Stegostoma tigrinum: one gene and its partners. The protein of the gene in region 1 binds, or shares a complex with, the protein of each later gene. Links are inferred from orthologs where the notes say so. Each region holds a gene or a part of one and is shown on either strand. Other genes may lie near its edges.

Evidence for each region. Proteins that work in one complex are often made in the same cells at the same time.
Region 2: the proteins of mapk8ip1b (region 1) and mapk10 are in contact, whole or in part, in a crystal structure (PDB 3PTG), measured with the Homo sapiens proteins. The link is inferred for Stegostoma tigrinum from reciprocal best matches to the Homo sapiens genes MAPK8IP1 and MAPK10. Residues at the interface, in NP_005447.1 of Homo sapiens: Pro158, Lys159, Arg160, Pro161, Thr162, Thr163, Leu164, Asn165, Leu166; in NP_620448.1 of Homo sapiens: Asp150, Ala151, Gln155, Val156, Met159, Leu161, Glu164, Arg165, Tyr168, Leu169, Tyr171, Val197, Lys198, Ser199, Asp200, Cys201, Trp362, Asp364, Glu367.
Region 3: the proteins of mapk8ip1b (region 1) and mapk8a are in contact, whole or in part, in a crystal structure (PDB 3VUM), measured with the Homo sapiens proteins. The link is inferred for Stegostoma tigrinum from reciprocal best matches to the Homo sapiens genes MAPK8IP1 and MAPK8. Residues at the interface, in NP_005447.1 of Homo sapiens: Arg157, Pro158, Lys159, Arg160, Pro161, Thr162, Thr163, Leu164, Asn165, Leu166; in NP_001310257.1 of Homo sapiens: Lys83, Asp112, Ala113, Gln117, Val118, Met121, Leu123, Glu126, Arg127, Tyr130, Tyr133, Val159, Lys160, Ser161, Asp162, His286, Val323, Trp324, Asp326, Glu329.

Annotation. Positions count from the first base shown.
Region 1 is NC_081370.1:40,883,025-40,891,000, forward strand, and holds the start of mapk8ip1b (C-Jun-amino-terminal kinase-interacting protein 1), read left to right. Parts: upstream 1-4,975; 5' UTR 4,976-5,184; coding exon 5,185-5,264; intron 5,265-5,554; exon of another isoform or gene 5,555-5,662; coding exon of another isoform or gene 5,663-5,664; intron 5,665-5,744; exon of another isoform or gene 5,745-5,838; coding exon of another isoform or gene 5,839-5,846; intron 5,847-7,976. UniProt on the Homo sapiens protein: The JNK-interacting protein (JIP) group of scaffold proteins selectively mediates JNK signaling by aggregating specific components of the MAPK cascade to form a functional JNK signaling module. Required for JNK activation in response to excitotoxic stress.
Region 2 is NC_081354.1:75,132,218-75,139,449, forward strand, and holds the start of mapk10 (mitogen-activated protein kinase 10), read right to left. Parts: upstream 3,039-7,232; 5' UTR 2,755-3,038; coding exon 2,752-2,754; intron 2,605-2,751; exon of another isoform or gene 2,584-2,604; intron 1-2,583. UniProt on the Homo sapiens protein: Serine/threonine-protein kinase involved in various processes such as neuronal proliferation, differentiation, migration and programmed cell death.
Region 3 is NC_081390.1:9,551,350-9,559,386, reverse strand, and holds the start of mapk8a (mitogen-activated protein kinase 8), read right to left. Parts: upstream 3,039-8,037; 5' UTR 2,926-3,038; intron 1,647-2,925; exon of another isoform or gene 1,574-1,646; intron 1,066-1,573; exon of another isoform or gene 914-1,065; intron 775-913; exon of another isoform or gene 606-774; intron 1-605. UniProt on the Homo sapiens protein: Serine/threonine-protein kinase involved in various processes such as cell proliferation, differentiation, migration, transformation and programmed cell death.

The sequences.
Region 1 (7,976 bases):
CGCCACTGATTGGCAATGGACTACAAACCTAGAACAGGCCATCACCACCGCCACAGGACCAGAACTAAGAAGACAGGCAAAGCTTAGGAAAAGGTGACCTAATTGGTCTTCCCCAAAGACAAGGACAACCACAAACCGGCCTCATGGGTAAGAAACCTATCCAACAGATGACTTACAAAAACTGAGAAAGCTGTTCTAATATTGGACTAAACTATAACCACTGGCATGCGAACAGAACAAAGTTCATGGCCACACTGGAAGCCATACTAAAAAACAATGGAATCACGGACAAAATTCAACAGACCATCTGACGAACTATAATCCCGGCATTGAACTGGAGGAATAATTGGGACACCCTAAACACATCAGAGAGAAAATCACTCAAAGAACTCAAGAATGACAGGAACATCTTAATCCTACCCGTGGACAAAGGGCATATGACTGCCATTATGAACGAACCAGGCGACATTGAAAAAGCACAGGCACTGCTTGCAGATACAGACACTTAGCGAGTTTTGAGAAGATTTATAGCTCAGGTTGAGGTTCTGGATGTGAGTTTGCTCGCTGAGCTGGAAGGTTAGTTTTCAGACATTTCGTCACCATTCTAGGTAACATCATCAATGAGCCTCTGACGAAGCGCTGGTGTTATGTCCCGCTTTCTATTTATCTGTTTAGGTTTCCTCAGGTTGGTGATGTCATTTCCTGCATTGGTGATGTCATTTTCTGTTCTTTTTCTCAGAGGATGGTAGATTGGCTCCAAGTCAATGTGTTTGTTGATGGAGTTCTGGTTGAACACTTACCAACAGGTGGAGAGAGACCCAACACTGCAGCTCAGAAATAGGATCACCCAAACACTGTTGAGACCAATGAATGCAGGAAAAATAACCAAGAAAGATGACATAAAAGTGAAACCAGAAGGCTCAAACACGCCCCCGGCTTATATTGACTCCTTAAACTACACAAACCAGATATCCCCCTCTGACCCATTGTCTCCTACTGGCCACACCTACAAATAGGTTCTCCAAGGACCTACAACAAAGACTGAAACATCTGGCTGATAGATCCCCCAACTCCACCTACTCAACCCAGGAATTCCTTAAAAAGGGCAAGAAAATCAAAATTGATGATGAGATTATGGTATCCTTTGAATTTACTGCGCTATTCCATACACTGGCCATGTTCGTAGGAGGAAACAGAAATGCTGAATGACAGCTCCATCAACAAGGACAACATTCTCAGAGTAATAGATAATAAAATGTGAGGCTGGATGAACACAGCAGGCCCAGCAGCATCTCAGGAGCACAAAAGCTGACGTTTCGGGCCTAGACCCTTCATCAGAGAGGGGGATGGGGTGAGGGTTCTGGAATAAATAGGGAGAGAGGGGGAGGCGGACCGAAGATGGAGAGAAAAGAAGATAGGTGGAGAGGAGAGTATAGGTGGGGAGGTAGGGAGGGGATAGGTCAGTCCAGGGAAGACGGACAGGTCAAGGAGGTGGGACCTGTCCCACAAACCCTTGCAAAAAAAAACCTGGAAATGACACAAAAACACCTCAACAGGCTGGATCATTTAAATACTAACTGGACTAGAACGACATCGCTTCATTGGAGGCCGCACTGATGATGTTTCCTAGCATGGTGACAAAACATTTGAACTATAACCAGCCAGCTTGGTGAGCAAGGTAACAACCTCATCCTACACAACCTTCCCACTCTTATAATCTATGCCATGACTGATAAAGGCAAGTGCCTGAGCTTTTTAACTACCCTAATTAACCTGTCTTGCCACCTTCAGCAATTTGTGGGCAAGCACCCCAGATTCCTTTGTTCCTCTGAAATTCCTAGTGTCCTACCATTCATTGAGTAATCCCTTGTCTTGTTACTTCTTCCAAAATGCATGACCTCACATTTAACAGGGTTAAATTCTATTGCTCCTTTTAACATACATTCATTATCTAAATTTGGGTACAGGAGGCAGTTTGCAGTGAGTTCAAAATTTAGAAACACAACGAACAATCAGAAGGGTAGTATGACACTTCAGGAAAATATAAATAAACTGGAAAATGTATTTCCAGCCTGCACATCTTTGAACTGTGGGAGGAAATGGGAGCACCTGGAGGAAATCCACGCAGACACGGGGAGAATGTGCAAACCCTACACAGGCGGTTGCCTGAGGGTGGAATCCAACCCAGATGCTAACCACTGAGCCGCCATGCTGCTCCACTTATCAGCATTTATTTACAGAGATAAACATTTCAAACTTGTACTTTCCAAGCCAATACTACAAAGTATTCCAGTTAATGCCTACTATCTGCATACAATTGGATACAACTAATCTATAACAACAATGGGAACAGTTTCCTCTTGTCTATTCCAACCTGACCCTTCATGATTTTGAATAATTCTGTCAAATCTCTTTTCAACCTTCAACCCAGGGAGAACAACCTTAGCCTATCCAATATGTACAATTAACTGAATTCTTCATAAGGATGTTTCCAGGGATAAGTGTCCTTTTCATTCTGTCTTAGACCTTCACATCTTTCCTTAATTGAGGTGCCCAGAACAGAACATAAAAGACCAGTTTTTAACATCTGGAATACACTGCCTGAAATAGTGGTGAAAAAAGATTGAATGTTAACTTTCAATTCTTAAAATGGAAAATAATGAAGCCCTTGAGAAGAGGAGTGAGTAGGATCAATTGGATAGTTCTTACAGATAGTCAGAGAGGCACAATGGTTGGAATGCCTCTGTGTGTGTTGTACCACACTTACAAGTTTTGTTGCCTCTGGCTTCAGAAGTCAACAGATTCCTCTCTATTTCTGGGCTGTGTTTGGAGGTGAATAGGATATCCTTGAAGAGCTGCCAAGTCAGCAATTTCAATATTTAGAAAGGGGCCTGATTGTTTAAGGCAAAAATTGTGGGTTAAATTTACAGACAGTACACAAATTTGACAAACTATGAGGAACTCATTAAAGTCAGTAATGCGAGAGAATAGGAAGGAATCAGTAATCAGTGAAACTGACATGTTGGAAACCCTTTAAATAGAGGTGAAGCCAACTGCTGCTGCCCAGTGTACTGGAAAAGCCAGACCTCACAGTTCTTGTTCAGATAGACTGGCTTCCTTTTGCTTCAAGGTTTTTGGAAGTCAGTTTACTTCTCTTGGATTCCACTCAACTTGCTCAGCATCAACCATCACTACACCATATGTAGCACTAGTTTGGATCTTGCTCTAAGATGAAGCAAAAGAGCAGAAACAGCCGTTTTCTCCTCAGCCATATGTTCCTCAGGACAGAGAGAATTTCCACATCTGGAAGAAGGTAAGACCCTCAATACAGAATCAGATTTTGCAGAACACCAGTGCCTCAGAAAGCTCAGGTTTTCACATATGGTCATGATGACACATCCTGTGCAATGGATCCAGTAGGCATACATTGCCGATGGCCATCAAGGCATTCTTCACTGAAGGGCTAGCCTCATCTTGACATCCCCCTGATGTTTTGTATTTGCTTCGCATTCAAGGACAGAAAAGAGCAATGTTTACTAGAAATGGATTGAAAGGAGAGGATGGAATAACAACAATGGTGGACTGGGATTGTGAGGCATGGAGCATGACAGCAATAAACTGAGAGTGAGCGGGAGTCTTAGCTGTTTTGATTGGGATGTGAAAAGATACATTGTCAGAGGAATGGGCAGAATTGGAAGGTGTGTTGTTCTGAGGATCCCATGAGGAGAATGCTGGGGAAGTGAGGAAAGTGGAGCTTGATACTTCAAAATGGATGATATTTTCCTTTCCTGCCCTTATGAAATTATTGAATCTGTTACTGCATAGTCTCCAGGATTGAGGAACCACATTCCTCGCTTCCTTGATCACTTCCATTGTTACGTGCTAAGTCCTCTTTTTCCCCACGTGCAGGAGTCAGTACTTTGGGGAAGAATCCAAATGCAGTGCAATATTCAGATTTGGTTTCCGGAGTCTCCCGTTAACCGCAATGTAGAAATCAGCCACACTGAGTACACTGGAGTCCCATTTAACTGCAGATCCTTCTTTTAACAGGAACAAGGACGTCGTCATTGCGTCTGATCTCCGAGGTTGTTCTGGAAAACGGGAAGCAGATTTTTAGTGCTGTGGCTGCAGTGAAAAGACACAGAAGATCCTGCCAAGCTTCCCTTCAGTGGCACCACCTCAGCATGCATTATACTACACACCAAATTGACGTGGAACTATAGCACAATTGCTTCAATACCATTGGGTCAGAGATTCTGGAACTCCTATCACAACAGCCCTGTGGAGCACCAACACAGATAATCTCCAACAATTCAAGGAGGTGATTCACCACTCAGGAGTAAGGATAGAAATCACAAGCCCTGATGCTGTTGCTCCAACTAGAGCCCTGAGTCCAGTTATTGGAGCTTAAAGGTGCCCTCCTCTCCTGGGCCAGATATTTTCTACAGCCTGACCACAGATGTTGACACACCTCTGGAGCAGGTGGGATTTGGAATTGGGCCTCCTGACCCACAGGTATAGGCATTACCGCTGCATGAGAAGAGCCCCAGTCCTCTCCTGGGCCATGTACCATTACTGTTTGAAGTGCAATGTGTAAGGACGGGCAAGAACCATTGTCATTGCCAGTAATGTGCACATCTTCAGAGTGAATAATACTGTTAAATATTGACACGCTACAACTGGCCCCACTCGGGTCAATTTTTGCTGTCTGTTCCCTTTCTCACCTTCAATAATTCCCTAATTAATACAATGGAAATATTCCAGGAAATGTCTTTGTTGGATCCCTCCTCTCCTGTAATTGTCTTGGAAGATGCATCTGCAACTTCCTGGAGAATGTAGACATTCGGAGACGGGGGGGGGGGTGGATCACCATCCCTAGTGACTGGTTTTCAATGAATTCTCCGCCAGCTGGAAGCATGGGTTGGTTGGGGTGGAGCTGTTCCAATTCTGGTGTCAACCCCCCGCATCACGTCGTATCACGGTGTAGCACATCAGCAGACACCCCGTGCCTGCAGCTTCAACAAGGGGCGGAAGTGTCTCTTTGGAGGGAGGCCTATGGAGTGTGTGCACCTTGTCGCGGTGACAGATGCCGGTGTGCAAAGCGGGTTAAAGCTGCTCGCTTTGCATTGAAGGCTGCCCCGGTCTGACGTAGTGAAAGCGCCTTTCGGGGGCTCTGTATGGAGAATGGCGGATGCAGAGTCCATGAACTCGCCGGCTGCCTCTCCCTTTCCGGGACTCCACATCAGCTCGCCTCCCAATTTCAGGTAAAGCAGAGGCACCACCAGCGCCGATTTCGAGTCGTGGCTTTTGTGCTGTCTGGCAATGTTTGATCTGAAATGCAATAGCTGATGAGCCAAGGAAGGAGGAGGAGGAGGAGGAGGAGGAAGGGACATCTTTTGAGCATTTAAAGGGGGTGGGAAAAGAGATACAGAAACAGCTAGGTCTGCGAGAGCAGACACCGGGAGCTCTTCTCCAAACCCCCCCCCCCCCCCACTGAATCGTGAGTAACACTGAGAATTGGGTTTAATTTTGATTTAATTGCAGATTGTTTGGGTATGCGCGTTTCTGATGGTGGCTGGAAGTGGCAGATTGTGTTTCAGGGCGTGGACAGCTCCCGGTTAGAATGGACCGGGAAGCAACGCTGGGGAAGGTTTTATTTTAAATGTGAGATCTTTTTCTTTAAGAAACATCTTCGGAAGTGTGTTTTCCCCGCGGAGATTACAATCCAAAATAACGTTTGGATCATCTTCCTTATTTTTTAAAAAAGCTGTTTATCTCACGTTTGTTAAACTGGATTCGGGACGGCCAGGTTATTTCGTGGGTTGATGAGTCAACCTCATGCATTTGTGAGTCTATTTGTAATGTAAACATGATGTAGATGTTGGGAAGTGCAGTGTTTAACTCGGGAAAGGACAGCTCGCCTGAAACAAACTATCAAATTGCGTGGTATTTGAATTTCAGCTCTGAAATGGTAATTAGGCTGTCTGCTTCTCTGGTCTGGAAAGATTGTGGATTGAAATCCCGTTCAGAAACTTGGGCGCAACATTTTGGTTGAGGTGCGCCCTTGGGATGAAGCGTTACTTCAACGTTCTGTGTGACCATAATGTGAATGCTTCTATTCGCGGGGTGGTGAAAAATACTGGGGACTCTTCCTTTTTCGCTACTGTTTATTTAGGGCCCAAATGAGATACACACTTTAAACACTTAAAACCTGATCTTCTGTTGTAGTTTGTGTGAATCAGCTTTGTAGGCTGCCATATTCCTGAGATTGCAACAGTGACTACCCTTCGTAAGCATTTCATGGTAGCTTCTGATTAATTCCACCTCTGAATCAGGTGGGACTTGAACCAGGCCTTCTGGTGCACACGACAGTACGCCACAAGAATCCTCTAGCATTTAGTTTTATTTTCTCTTAAAATCTGGAAGTGTTATTATACACACTCAACCTGCCCCATAAGCTTCTAATTGGCTGTCAAGTGATTAGTGATGGCTGAGGACCAGGAAAGGCACTATGTAAATGAAAGCCTATCATTATTAAATCAGATGTTGTACAATGACCCACGTTTTGCTCTTTTAATATGTGGGATTTTCTCACATCATCTTTCCAGTGTTTTTGTTCTGGTGAAATTACTTCCTGCTGTTTTGACCCTCCATGATTGATTTTCTATTGTTCCTGGAGGCATAAATATTCCTTTATTCTATAGAATTTCCCCAGAATATTTCAGTGATTGAGACGGTATCGTGGTTTCTATTATGTTTACTGGCAACTGGGACCATTACTCACTGGTATAAGGTATTTTCTATGAAATTTAGAAAACTGAGGGATGACCTGGTTGTGACCTTTGACAGGCATAAAGAAAATGCTGCCACTCGGAGGTTCCGTGAATGTGAGATAATCGCTGACAGTTCCAGATAAGAATTCCAGGGGAAATTTCTTCGCACTGAGATTGTGGCACTGCTACTGCATGGAGTGGTTTTAGTGAAGAGTGTAAATGCTTTTAAGAAGAAAGTGGAGAAATACAGGGAGAGGAAAGAAAAGAAAGTTATACAATGGAACAAGATTAAGTTGTGTCAATATAGTGTGGGAGCTGGATGAACACAGCAGGTCAGGCAGCATTAGGGGAGCAGAAGAGTTCATATTTTGGATCACCCTGATGAAGGGACCTGACCTGAAACATCGGCACTCCTGTTCCTCTGCTGCCTGACCTCCAGCTCCACGATGCATTGACTCTGAAAACAGCATCTGCAGTTCTTTCTGTCTAGAGTTGGAGGGAATTGATGTGACACACGAATAACAGCCTGGCACCAAAGAGATACATGGCCAGTTTCTTGGCTGTAAATTCCATTTAAAATTGCATCAATTGTAGGATTTCCCCCTCCAGCCCTAAAAACAAAGTCAGAGCTCAGTGCTCCTTCACTTCTGGCCTCTTAAACATTCTGTTTTTAATTGACTCACCAATGCTGTCTTCATAAGCTTTGAAATTCTCTCTTTAAACCTCTCTGCATCTGTTGCCTCCTTTTGAGACACGTTTAATACCACCTCCTTTAAATCTTTTGCTTACTTGACCTGTCTCGTCCAACAGTATGGTCAAATTTTAACTGATAAAGCTCCTGAGAAGGGATTTCTGGTGGTGTTTGGGGAATGTTATTGTGATTTCCATCTATATTATTTTTAATTTTTTTAAACCGGTATCACCAACAACTATAAGAGCTTTTATTTAAAGGGATAAGAATCATCTGTTTGTGGGACTACTGTAAGACGAGGTACAAATGGCAAGCCTTCCGTCTTTTCAATAGGGGAGAAACTCTGATACCTTGCCTGGTATGGCCTGGAGACTCCAGCCCCAAACTTATGGTTGGATCTTCCCTGCTGTCAGAAGCAGCTGAGCATGCCCCTTGTGACAAAGGTCTTGCACCTTCTCAAGCAATTGGCGGGTGATCGCTTCACTACCAGCCTGCAGTTTTGTAAAAGTTCG
Region 2 (7,232 bases), on another chromosome or scaffold:
CATTCACTCGAGTATTGCTAAGGCTCTTTGATGGCACACTCAATCAAATGTAATCTTGATGTCAAGCAGATTTCCTGTGTGACGGATATGGCAGATGATCAATGGTGAGGAAGTGGGAACAAGGCTAATTGAGAAATTAATCCAAACAGGGTTGGTCACCTCATCTCCACATTCAGGTAAATATAGGCGTCAAAGTAGCACCACATAATGTTGCACTAGTTCAGCAAATTGCAAGCTGTGTGCAGGGGACATTATGAATCAGAATTTGATCCAACAAGCAGTGCAAGGCCCAAGCTTACATACATTATTCTATAGTTAAAGCATTCTCAACTACTGTCAGTACCTCTACAGTTTCCAGGCTGTTGAATGTTATCCTTCCAACCAGTTATCTGAGTAGGCATCCTACCATCTGCCCATATCTGGAAATGTGTGTAGCAAGGAGGCGCATTTAGTACCAAATATGGTGCTACATGACTTGATTTCTGATTAATTGACAGAACTTGTCACTGGCATCTTCAGCTATTGGCAAAAATGTGCCTCTTGCAGAAAACTAAACTGTGGTCTTTATAATTAACGTTTCTGATTCCTAACTTCATATTTGTTTCAACATCTATCTATTCAAACATGTGAAGATGTTCAAAAAGGCAATGCACCTAAATTTCTTGAAAGCTGTTTTTCTGCCAGAACAGATTGTTAAAAAAATTAATGTCACCTTTTATTAAAATACAGTAATGACAATGAAGAGTAGGTGACATCTGTTCCAGCACAACTGAAACAGGCAAAATCACAATCGTTACAGTCACAGTTCTCTTTAAGAATGATATCATACTCTGACAATGTGATTGTAGAAATTGATCATGTGAAACTGATTTTTCTTTGGCAATTTTTAATTTCTATATTATTTATTAATCTTGTCCAAATATAACTTTGTCTAAATGGTGGTATTCCATGAAAAGCCCACTCCAGGCCATTCAATAGAGCTGAAACCAAAGCTCCAAGTCCAATCGTATGCAAGGGGGCAATTTTAAATAATGAAGTCAGATGGTCATCCACCCCCTTTCCTATCTTTAACTCATTGTATCAGTTGGGAGCCTAGAAAATCATTCAGCCAGCTAGTATGAAAAAAGTATTGACATAAAATGTCAATAAAATGCCATAAGCTATGGTCTATTAATCAGTGACTGAGTTGTTTCCCCAAATTCACACTATTCTCCATAGGATGAATATGAAAATAAGTTTAAGGAACTGTTTAATATTGCTATAAGACAAGGATTCTGAATTTGACTGCAGTATTTAAAGGTAAATACACTGCAGTAGTATGCTTACATCAAATTACACCATTAACTCTATAGCATCTAATTATTTGTTACATAAAATAAGACAGAAAAATATTCAAGATCCACTTAAAATAAACAAATATGTTTCTGATTTACATTTTTAAAGTTTTTGTTTTCTGATTCTCATGCACTGTTTTTTTCTGAAGACCAACAATGTTCTCCTGTAAGTAAATATGAAAATCTATGCTTTCCATGTATATGCAGAAATTAAATCATATCGAAGCCGTCTAAAATGGCTCAGTGTTCTTAACTTTAGGTTACAGCAGAGGCATTCAATGTATTTTCTACGTCATTTGTATATACCAGGACATGACCACTCCTCTAATTAACCACAATTATTTCATTTAAAGAAAAGAGGAGAAATAGATTTCCAGCTCTGAATATCAAATGTGCAAGAACTGCATAGCTTATATTTTAAAACTGAGCACAAAGACTTATGTTGTATCTGTGCAAAAAGACGCCATCACATTTGCTAAACAAGCTAGGTGTATATCCATATTTGGTCATAATCATTTGCAATATTTGCATATACCTTTCTCTCCAGAGATTCTCACACAGAGAAGTCACCAACACCCTCACTGTATAAAACGCCTTCCTCGGCAATAATCAAGAATGCACCCCAGGTAGTTTGTGCCTCTCTATCGTTCTATCCTTACAGACAATTTTAAAGCGAAATTGGCAAGTAACACAGTATTGTGAAATAATGTGATCAAGAAAATGATCAGAATACTCATTTTGTCAAACGGAGTCAGAAAAATAAATGTTCAGTGACCCTTTACAGATCCTTGTAATGTTATCAAGCAGACAATACTGATGAATGGCCAGAACAAAACACTTCCAATCCTTCTTTCAGCCGATGCTGAATCTCTTCACAAGATTAATTAGATGCGTGAATCAAAGCAGAAATCATGACCCCAGATTTCTATCACTTCGAACAGGCTGAAAGACAATCAATTAACCCCAATGATCCGAAACCGATTCACTGATATCAAAACTTGCTAATTCATCACTAAATTCATTTTAAAACAATTCGTTGTTTACATGTATATGTATATGACAAGCTATAAGGCTAGAAAGGTGTAAAATGTTTCTTGCCGACTATTTGCAAAATATTCATTTCACTTTTATCAAATTCCTCAAGTTTTCTCTTTCAAACATTAACTAAACAGTAATTTACATGCACTACATCAAGCCTTAAGCATTATTTTACTCATGTACTTTGCATTCTCTAATGACAGTAAGTTACCGGATGGATGCATATCAATACGAGGAAAAAGGCTACATCCAGCTGCCACTTGCTGGGATGCTTTCCTCATGCAATTCTAGCGGTCTACTTCATTAACCTTTGCTGAAATCAATATTCATCACCCCACCCTTAACAGGTTAGCACACTGCATCAGTATCAACCACCTACCATGCCGTGCCAACTGAAGAGAATCCTGGTATGGTAACAGTCCCCCCCACTGCAATCCGGATTCAAACCATTTTGCTTTTCGCAAAAGAAGAATGAAACACAAAAGATGCACAATGGATCGGAGAGGATGCCTGGAAAGGAGGAGGAGGAGAGAGAGAAGAGAGCTGCTGGAGAGGAGGGAGAGATTGCTGAATCACCGCCATCACCCGTGTTAAACCATTGTGCAGTCAATGCTGCCTGTACCAGTGTGGAACCTACCAGATGAGACAGACAGAGAGCCTGGGGAATAAGTTTCTATGGCAACTGAAAGGAGCACACATGACGTCAAAGCTCGCAGAAGGTCTGGGGTAGGGGGAGAGACTTTTAAATCTGACAGTATCTCCATATGCTTCCGTAATGACTTATTTAGAACCCAGTACAAAACAGTTTATCCCATAGACCTGCACTTAACACACGAATTATATAGCCGTAGCAAGCAATTAATACAGAGAGTGCACTGAGGCATCTCCAGCCAAATGTTGCCTACTGTACTAGTTTTGAAAATGCGCAGAATAATAATTTTGTTACCAAAGTACAGTTGGAGAATACTTTCGTTCACAATAAATATTCATACAGTGCACAAAGGTACAATTACCAGTACAAAAATTTTAATATATTAAAATAAAATGTTATTATTTTGTGTAATTCAACATAATCGTTATACAATATTCTTGTACAACAAGGAGGAAGAGGCTTCTCCCTACCTGTACACGCACATACACATCCACAAACATTTTTCTCATTCTCACACAACCAACTTTAACTATTTGAGGATTCTCCCGCTGTCTTATAACTGCATTAGTATTGTGTTTACCTTGAGAACACCAGCCGATTCAATTATTGTTGCTGTTAGTTTCTACCAAATTAAAATTCATTATTTTACGGATCACTGGAATATTCGTTACCCAATCAGATTAGTATATAGTTACCACTCTGAAGTTTATAAGATTATTATATCGTGAGACAGTGCCTTTAAGGCAAAAATGAATGGGATCATGTGACCTGTTCCAAAATGTGCCTGACAGCAAGCCTGGCACGTGGTTTGACTGTTAAAGATTAAAAGAAACAGTTTATTTTACTGGGAACAAGGTGCAGGTGAATATAGTTTGGAAGCAATGGCAGCAAGCTGTGTGCTAAAAGTAGAAATACTGTGAGTCTCCAAAGTTCCAGAAGCATGTTGAGAATGTTGCTTGTAAGCTGGATGGGTATCAGCCGCTACCTGAGAGGGAAAATCACATTTATTTATGAGTGAGGCTGAGCCATCCAGTTGAGATCTAGTCCATTATAGCTTGAAAGCTGGAATGGAAGGGAAGGGCTTCAAAGTGGAGGCACTGTCTTTGATATGGAGTTGTCCCGGTGCCATCAACATTGATTTCAGATCCCTGGAAATCTCATGGCATCAGATTCTTTGGGTATATTTAGGGCTGAGATAGATTTTTGATCAGGAGGGGAATCAAGACGTTTGGGAAAAAGGCAGGAGAATGGACCCAAGGTGTGTCACATCAGCCATGATGCCATTGAATAGTGATTCAGGCTCGAACCCCTGAACAGCCTACTCCTGTTCCTATTTGTTATGGTGCTATAATCTTAGATCAAACATGGGGAAGGAAATATCCTACTGATTGTCACATGTTGTTCTACTTTAGCTGATAAATCAGTACTCCTCCTTGTTGAGAATTAATTTGAAGATGCGCTGAGGGTGGTAAAGGCACAAAATGGTCCATCATTGTCCAGTAGTACGCATACCTGCTACTGAGTGGATGTTAGTGGTTCCTGTGCCATAGCTAGTTGAACCGTAAAGGACCTAATTGCTAAACTGGTTCTGATGCAAGTGATTGAAGAACCAATGAGAGAAAAATTTACTTGGCATCATCTCACAAATTATCTGTTATAGATGCATCCAATCATGATAGAGTTTGTATTTGAGTCACAATCATACAGTCCTTGTAGAGATCTTCATATTGAGGCTATTCACCATTGTATTGTGAGGCACTACCACTGTGCTAAAGCAAGTAATAGATTTTAAATAGATCTAGCAACACAAAACTTGGTATCAAGAGGTGCTTTGACTAGCAGCAACAAAATTTTATTCAATCACAATCGATAACCTCATGGCCCAGCATATATTCCACTCTACCATTACCATTAAGCAGGGAGATCAACCTTAGTTCATTGAAGAGTGCAGTGGGTTATGCCAGGAACAGCATCAGGCACCAATATAGTGAAGCTACTTCAGACAATTTGCTTGCCACCAAAGAAGCAACACGCAATAGAAAGAGCTAAAGAAATCCCACAACCGGTGCATCAGATCTAAGCTCTGAAGTCTCACTACATCCAGTCATGAGTAGGGATAGAAAATTAAACAATGAACATGAGAAGGAATAGGCTCTATAAACATCCCAATCCTCAATGATGGAGGAGCCCAGCATATCTGTGCAAACAACAAGTCTGAAGTATCTTCATAGAACATAGAACACTACAGTGCAGTACAGGTTCTTCAGCCCTCAATGTTGTGCCGACCTGTGAAACCAAACTGAAGCCCATCTAACTTACACTATTCCATTATTACCCATATGTTTATCCAATGATCATTTAAATGCCCTTAAACTTGGCGAGTCTACTACTGCTGCAGGCAGGGCATTCCATGCCCTTACTACTCTCTGAGTAAAGAACCTATCTCTGACTTCTGTCCTATATCTATCGCCCCTCAATTTAAAGCTACGTCCCCTCGTGCGAGCTGTCTCCATCTGAGAAAAAAAGCTCTCACTCTCCACCCTATCTAATCCTCTGATCATCTTGTATGTCTCTATTAGGTCACCTCTTAACCACCTTCTCTCTAACGAAAACAGCCTCAAGTCCCTCAGCCTTTCCTCATAAGATCTTCCCTCCATACCAGGCAACATCCTGGTAAATCTCCTCTGCACCCTTTCCAATGCTTCCACATCCTTCCTATAATGCGGCGACCAAAACTGTACGCAATACTTCAAGTGTGGCCGCACCAGAGTTTTGTACAGCTGCAAAAGTGCTGAGTGTTACATTCATCTCAACATCTTCCGAAGATCCCCAGCATCACAGTTTCCAGCATTCAGCCCAAATGATTTATTCCACATGATATCAAGTAATGGCTGAGTAGCTCTTAGCCCCCCAGGTATGTTCTGTCATTCAGTATGATCATGATTGATCAAATTATAACTTCAACACAACATTCTTGCCTACGTTCAATAACATTCCACTACCTTGCTTACCACAAACATGTCTACCTCTGACTTAAAAATATTCACAAACTGTGCTCCTACCATCTTTTTGAGGAAGAGAATTCCAAAGACTTGTAATCATTTGAGGAGAAAAGGTTCTACTTTATCTCTAACTTAAATGGACAACCCTTTCTTTTTAAGATATGGCCCCTAGCTCTAGATTCTCCCACAGGAGGAAACGTCCTTCCCACATCAAGCCTGTCACGAACCTCCAAGGATCTTGCGTGTTTTAATCAAGTGGCCTTTTACCCTTCTAGGCTGTAGTAAATAGAAGCCTAGCCTGTCCACCCTTTCCTTATAAGACACCCATTCCATGTACTCCACTCACTCTCATAGGTCAATGGCCTGTTGAAAAGAGCTGTACAAAACATTGTTCCTCTCAAGTTAAACACAGTCTTAAAGGCTGCTCAAGCACTACACTGCAGTGTCTGTCTACACTTTGTACCATTGAAGGTTAACCAGGGATAAAATAGTGCAAGAGAGGTGCCTCATGATTGTCCCCAACCTGGTGCTTATCAAGATGGCCCAGAATGCACAACATTCAAATTCCACATCATGGTTAAAGCCTTCATGCCCCCCTAACCTCAGTACCAGTACTGCCCTGTCTCACTGACCACTGCTGTCTCCCAAACAGCAGGGAGAACTCTTTAAAATGGGAACAGCTAAAGATACCATGTATACAGTCATATGGATAACAAAATATGTGTGCATCAAATGAAAAGCTCCAGGAATGTGGAAATAGTCAGCTCCACAGGGAATTTCCATTGAACCAACAGTAAGTAACACAAGAGAAGGAATGGGAGGAAGTGAAATCCTAGCACATCCCACCTGAAAGTAGGTTTGAAAGGGATTCTGTCAGGCTTTTAACACACTATGGTGCATAGCTCCATCTTGGTCTCTTAGATGACCCTCCGGGCAAATGTCTTCATTCTCAACATCAGATGATTGCTCTCAATCCTCCATTTTGTCTACCTCGAGTCATAGAGTCATACAGCACAGAGAAAGACCCTTTAGTCCAACTTGTCCATGCCGATCAAGTTTCCCAAACTAGTCTCAAGACTGCCTTTGGGCCTCATCGCTCTAAACTTTTCCTATTTATGTACCTGTCCAAATGTCTTTTAAATGTACTAACTGTACTTGCATCTATCACTTCCTCTGGCAGTTCATTTCATACATGCACCCGCTCTG
Region 3 (8,037 bases), on another chromosome or scaffold:
ATGTAACTGTTGAGTTCAATTGTACTTATCTTAAGAAAAATACCATTAAACTAGAGAAGACAGCATTATCCCAAATTTGACTGCAATTTCAGAAAGTCAAAAACGGTAAAGAATTGCAATTCAATTAAAAGACAGAACCTTTCAACGTAGGAACCAGCAGCTGAAAGCTCAGCTCCCTGAAAAACACGACCTTTTCACCATTTCTCCAACAACACAACCTGAACAAGGATGCAAGTCTCTTGTATTAGTGATTGCGTGAAACACTGAATCCCGCAAACAAAGGAATGGGGAGGAGATGGGGGGGGGGGTGAAGAGAAATGAGGGGCTCGCGTGGCTCAAATACGATCATTCAAACGTGTTTTACGCTGATATTTAAAGTGTATTTTGCAGGTCAGCCTTTATCAATAACACAATTTGCATCTGCATGTCGACCAAGAAAGGATTTGAAATAAAATCCGCCAAGTGTTAAAGAACATAAGTGCATGCTATAAATAGAACGCCGGCGATTTTCTCTGCAATTATGGATACAGCCAGACCCTAGTTCCAAAGCGTTTACAATACCACATTTCCCGAAGACTGGGTCGACACCGGAGAATGACAATTACCTGGGCACCGAAATAAACTTCTAAAACATGTTTGAATCGAAGAGGGTGTCGATCTCCCCACCTCCCCTTCAGATCGCAAGTGATGGGGTATTTCATAGCAAACAAAAGAATCTCAAACCGATAGAGCCAGCGCCGCAGATACAGCGAGGCACAATTACCAGAGAAAAGTCTGTCAGAATACAGACAGAAAGGCACAGAACTCCCAAACAAACACCAAACTGCAAGTCAACTGATTAAATCCGGGATTTCGCAATGGCCTGCACATGTAGGAGCAGGATTGAAATAAAAGCAAAAACAAAATTACGCACAATTTGTATGAAAAGGGGATGATCACTCCCGCTCTTGTCCTTGGAGAGTGCCTGAAGAGCCTCTTGTTGGCCCTGAGGTAGAAAGCTGGTTGGACTGAGGGTAGTTCTCACAGTCGGTCCACAGAGTAAAATATACGGTGCAACCAACACAGAGGGATGGGATCCAGCAGACAAAACTAAATGAGTCCTCTGGACGTGCAGGAGGTCCCGGGGGGGGAGTCCCAGCTGGTGGCGGGAGGATGTCTGTGGTATTTACACAAGACAAAACCAGAGACACATGGGGGGGGGAGAAAGAAGAGACGTGACAGGAAATATATGGGGAGAGTAGGGGCTAAGCAAGACAGAAAAAGATGACCGCTGTGGGACAGGGTTAAGGGAGAGTGTTGTGTTGGGCAGAGAACCCCTTCGACTCTGAGTCAAAAGATCCAAATCGAGTACCACTTGACAGCTTATGTGGTCAAAACATCAAACTGTGAATTCTATCAACAGGGAAAAAAGGGTTTGGGGAATGTCAAGCTGGGAGTCACCTAGTTAGACTGACTGCAGAGTGGAGCCCACAGCCCACTGGGAAGAGGCCAGAGCCCTGTTCCAGGATAAACCAGCTGTAGAGACAGACTTAAAACATGGGTTTCATCCAAGTCCCTACCTTTCAAAACCCACCTGCTCCAGAGGTGTCATTACATCTCCCTCAGCATGTTAAGTGGGAAATATCGACAGTGTCTCTCCTGGCAGACCCGGATAGGAGACTTCTGACAAAGCAGCAGGAGATAAGCTGCTGTGTGGGGGAAGGAGTTACACTGCCTCAAGGACAGGGCGTTTAAACATACAATCACAAGGCCCAGGGAAGGGGGTATTTAAAACACACAACACCACCCCCCCCCGCCACCAAGGGTGCCGTCGAATTGTAGCTGTAAAACAGAGTCCCCCCCCTTGCTGCCCACAACCTCCCTCAGTCTTTCACCACCAGACCTTGTGCCCCACCAACTACCTCTGCTTCGCTCTCCTTCTGTCCCTCACCTCCTCTAACCGTTAAACCCTTCCATCTCACCGTTGCGACCTCAAAACCTCCCCATACCCCAGTGTTTGTCCCCCGTCCCCTACACCTGTCCCCATACCCCAGTGTTTGTCCCCCGTCCCCATACCCCACTGTTTGTCCCCCGTCCCCATACCCCACTGTTTGTCCCCCGTCCCCATACCCCACTGTTTGTCCCCCTGTTCCCTACACCTGTCCCCATACCCCACTGTTTGTCCCCCTGTTCCCTACACCTGTCCCCATACCCCACTGTTTGTCCCCCTGTTCCCTACACCTGTCCCCATACCCCACTGTTTGTCCCCCTGTTCCCTACACCTGTCCCCATACCCCACTGTTTGTCCCCCTGTTCCCTACACCTGTCCCCATACCCCACTGTTTGTCCCCCTGTTCCCTACACCTGTCCCCATACCCCACTGTTTGTCCCCCTGTTCCCTACACCTGTCCCCATACCCCACTGTTTGTCCCCCTGTTCCCTACACCTGTCCCCATACCCCACTGTTTGTCCCCCTGTTCCCTACACCTGTCCCCATACCCCACTGTTTGTCCCCCTGTTCCCTACACCTGTCCCCATACCCCACTGTTTGTCCCCCTGTTCCCTACACCTGTCCCCATACCCCACTGTTTGTCCCCCTGTTCCCTACCCCCAATCCCAGTGATTGACCCAAAACCCTCCCCCAGTGCTTGTCCTCCTCCCCAAACCCCCCTCCACTGTTTGTCCCCTACCCCAGTGTTTTCCCCATATCCCCTCCCCCACTGTCTGCCCCTTACCCCCCACCCCACTGTTTGACCCTACCCCAGTTTTTGTCCCCTAACCCCTCCCCAACTGTTCGTCCCTTGTCCCTTGTCTCTTACCCCCTACCCCCTACCCCCTACCCCCTACCCCCTACCTCCTACCTCTGTTTGTCTCCATACCGCATACCGCCTACCGCCTATCCCCTACCCATATCCCCTACCCCCCTGTTTGTCCCCATATCCTCACCCGTTCCGGCGCCGGACACAGACAAAAACCCAGCAACAGATCCACCGACAGCGGCCCCGCTCACCGACTGCGCAAAATAAAACTACGTCAACCGAGCGTGCGCGCCCCCGACAGTAGTCAGGCGCGTGTCCGTCGCCCAGCGGCAGAGCGAGTGAACGCGCACTGTCACTCGATTCCAGCCTGATCAGAGCCGGCGCCGGGGTTGGGGGGGGGGACCAGCAGCCAATAATGTTCCTCTTTTATTTTCCCATTCTGTCCCTCCACCTTCGCAGTTTTCACTTTCTGTTTTTATCCCTCTTGTCTTTTCCCATTCTGTCTCTCCACCTTCGCAGTTTTCACTTTCTGTTTTTATCCCTCTTGTCTTTTCCCATTCTGTCTCTCCAATTTTGCATTTATCGTTTTTTGTTTATTATTCTCTTTTTCTCTCTGTCTCTCTCCCTTTTTTATCCTCACTTTCTATTATTCCGTCAGTCTCTCCCCACATCATACCCTTCCCGTCCTCAGCCAAGCTCTGAGAAATTTCCACTTTGTCAACCTGGTAAAATGCCTTTGAATAAAAGCACCATCTACAATTCCATCTTAATGGTAATGCTCTTTTAAAATAACAATGGACACAGCCAACATTTCATTTCTGTCATGAACTTACCATTTCCCCTTCATGGTTTGTTATTGGTGTGGGAAATTTTGAACATTCACGAGGAACTACATTTAAAACATGAATCCATTGCTTACATGAGAAGTGTGCAAGGTCATTGTTAAAGCATACACAAGGATTTAATCATCCAACAGTAATGTTGAACATTTGTGACAAATAGGCACAAAATCAACCTCTGAAAAGAAATAGTGAATTGAATAGCGCTCATCAAACAGCATAGGTCTGCTTGACTTTGTTACATAGTTAGTCCAACCTATGGTAAGTTTGCTGTTTGTGTTGCTCTTTGTTCTACATAGCAGCTTTAACCAGGATTCAAGATCAAAAGCCAAAGATTTAGCCAAAAGAAAAGTAACCTGAAGAAGACCACAGAAAATGAAAGAAACGTATTTATAGAAAAAAAAATGGATTTAATTAAATGAAGTGATAGATTTGCATTTTGCTCTTTGTAGTTTGTATCACCCACTGTCAGGAAAAATCGGAATGGGAGTAAGTTCTTTAGCTCCTCCAGTCTGTTTCACCATTCAATTAAATCAAGGCTGATTTGTGACCTAACTTCAACTTTATGTTGAACATGGACGGCGTGTCAAAATCTTACCCCTGACCTCAATGAAGTCTGAGGCAATGAAGAAAATCAGTTGATCAAATGAGATGGGCTGCTTCATAAATACCAGCATCTTGTTCTATCTGAATCAATTCTTAAAATCAAGAAACTGTGACAGAAGCACATAAACAATGACAAATGCGTTCCAGCTTTCTCAGCCCTGCAAGGAAATACATTCAAATACTTTAACAATCCTATGTTTATTTCTAATTAATGCAAGCCAGTCTCAGAAGTTCAGATGATTATAATTGAGCTCAGTGCTCTTCAATTTTGAACACTTGGGGTAGGGAACCTGGGGCATTCCAGAGTCTAAACTCCAAACCCCAATAGGTTTCATTGTTTGGCAAGGACAGTATTCACTGTAGCTGCAATGACTCAACAGAAATAGTCATGGTACTTTAAAACATAAAAATAGTCAACTGCATGGGATACTAAAGGGATAATGATGCATATGGAAGCATACTGCAGAAATTTTCTGCTCCTTGACCTTTTGAACACTGAACAGAAAATTGTACAAAAAGTGTTCCACTGTTTTTCAAAATAATGGCAGCTTCCGAGGGAATATCCATCCACAAACCTTTTAGCAAGGTGTATGTCCATTCCATCAGTTTCTTTGAATCCTGGACTCAGTTCAATTTTCCTACCCCAGACTCTCTGTCCGTAATTTTGACTCTGGTTCAGTTTTATTTGTTCAAAACAGAGGGAATCAAAATCATTTAATCAGTGATCCATTCTAGAAAGCCAGCTGGTGAAAGATACAACTGGAGTCAATCTTTCTGCACTTTTAGATTCATTTCTAATGTTCCACGTTCAGTTCAATTATCATTTGATTGTGCCACAGGGTTAAACGGTGATGTGCTTTCTGTCACTGAGCCTCCACATAAATCCAAACTTGGGATCAACAGCAACATGTAATGGTTTCCCCGCATGAATAGTTGAGTGCCGGGCAAAAGTAAGAAGCATTGAGGGGGAGAACGAGCACTTCAGGTCAAACTTGAATTGTCTCAAGGACCAGTGCTGAAACACTTCCTCTTCCTCACCATCATGGATATTCTAACTGAGCAGGTGAGGCATGGTGCAACAGTGTCTGCAAATAAATACATGGTGGAAATTATGAGAATATTACTGTGCATCTGGAGGAAAGCACAAGAAGATAGAGCTATGAAGATCACCAAACCTGTCAAAAAAATGTCAGATTGAGGCTACAGAAAAGAATTAGAGTAAAGATATAGATAATGGATGACTTTAATCTTTATTGCATCAAATGGGTAGAAATAGCCATTAGCAGGAATTCATTGAGGTTACTTGGGCAGCTTCCTAGAACAATATATTATTAAGCTAATCAAATCTGGCTATTTTGAATCTGATAATGTGTGACAAGGTAAGTTTAATAAGTGGTGTCAGGCTAAAAGATGTCTTAGGAAACAATGACCATAACAACCTGAGTTTAACATTCAGCTTGAGAGTGGGAAACCTGGGTCAGAAATAACTGTTAAATTTATCATAGTTTTTGGTGATAAGACTCAATGGGCTGAAGGACTGTCTCTACAATATGAATCTATGATCGTATGAAAGGTGGGTACAAAGGAATGAGGGGACAGTCAGTTGGAGTAGACTGTGGGAGATCAGCAGAAAGAAACAGTTAATGAACAATAGCAGATGCTTAAGAAAATAATTCATGACTTGCAGCGAAGATAAATCTCAGAGTGGAGGAAGAGTTCTATGACCAAAAAAATGTTAAAAGAAGTGTGAAAATAAACTTTGAGGATAAACTAGCAACTGATATAAAAAGTGTTATGATCCCAGTTGATATTATTCCTGAATAAGTCAGGTCTCTGAAAGAAAGTTGGATTGACAGATCATATTTGGATTTGTTTTGGGTTTGAATGAAGTAATCTCTCACTAAAGCACTTCACACAATGCTGCAGATTTAACAATAAACCAAAAGTTTATCAACAAAGGAAATTGAGACCTAATAGAATAAACCAAACCCCTACTTATAACACTGAGTTTTAAACACACAGTAAAAGTGTATTCCTTTTAATCCCAAAACACTTCATCATAAATTGAAAAGGAAAAACAAAACAAAACAGTTTTTTATATGGTACCCCAAAACACACCTCTGATACGGCACCTAAAACACTACTTTTACAATACTCACAAAGCATATCCTACACCTAGATATCTAAGATGCATGTTCTTCAACATACAGACTGGAACATCAGATAGTTTCTTCTCGGATAGTAGGAACTGCAGATGCTGGAGAATCTGAGATAACAAGGTATAGAGCTGGATGAACACAACAGGCTAAGCAGCATCAGAGGAGCAGGAAAGCCGACGTTTTGGGCCTATCTTGTTATCTCAGCTTCTTCTTGGAGCTATTATATAATTGAGCTACAATGCACTCAGCTTGAAGCCACCTGCAGCTAAGCTGTTCCAGTATAGCTACAATGCTGACATCTATCTGATAAGGTGAAAAATTACACATGACACATCTTATCCATAAAAACATGGAATAAATCCAATATGACCAACAAATGCCCCATCAGTTGACACTTATTCTTCAGCCAAGTGGTGAGAGATATTGTCAACAGTACTGTCAGGCAGCACTTGCTCAGTTAGAAGCTGCTTACTCACGTTCAGTTTAAGTTCTGCTAGGGCTACTAAGCCCCTGACTTCATTACAGTCAGGGATAAAAGAGCAGAACATTAGGGCCAAGATAACAAAGTGTGGAGCTGGGTGAACACAGCAGGCCAAGCAGCATCTCAGGAGCACAAAAGCTGACGTTCCGGGCCTAGACCCTTCATCAGAGCTCGCTGATGAAGGGTCTAGGCCCGAAACATAAGTTTTTGTGCTCCTGAGATGCTGCTTGGCCTGCTGTGTTCATCCAGCTCCACACTTTGTTATCTTGGATTCTCCAGCATCTGCAGTTCCCATTATCACAGAACATAAGGGCCAAGTGAGAGTGAATGTCCCTGACATCAAAATATCATGTGAACATTTGCGGCATCAGGTACCCTGAGCAAAATTGGAATCAGTGGGTATGAGGGGAATTGTTCTATTGTTTGCAACCTAGCTTAGTTGAAAGGAAGACTGTTATGGCTATTGAATGTCAATCATCTTAACTGTGAACTATTGCCATAGGAGTTCTCAGGATGGTATGCTTGGCCTAACTAGCTTCAGCAGCTTCAGCAATGACGATCACACCATCATTAAGTCAGAAGTAGGGATGTTTGCTGATGATGGCACAATGTTCAGCACCATTCATATCTCTTCAAACACTCAAGCAGGTTGTGTTTGTATGCAGCAAGACCTGGGCAATACCCCATTAAATGACTAGTAACAATTATGCCAAACAAATGCCAGAGAAAATCTAACAATCACACCTTGATATTCACTGGCACTACCATTGTTAGATCACCCATTGCCAACATCTAGAAGGTTACCCCATTGGCCATGAACTGAATTGGACCAGTCATGTATTTGCTGTTGCGAAAATGGCATGTTGGGAGCAGGAAATAACTCACCTCCTGATTCTGGCTTGCTTGTCTATGATTTATAAGGAAAAATCAGGAATGTGATGGAATACTCCCCACTTACCTGGCTAAGTGTAATTCCAACAACACTCAAAAAGCTCATTGCCATCCAGAAAACAGCAGTCTGTTTGATTGGAATCTCAAAACTTGTGCCCTTCACCACCGACATCTACAGAATAAATTGAAACTCCTCACACAGGATTCCTCCAAACCCATACACTCTACAAAGTCAAATGATGAGGGCAGCAGATAATTGGCTACATCATAATTTACAAGTGTCCCCCTAAATCATACACCATCCAGGTGTGGAACTATATCAC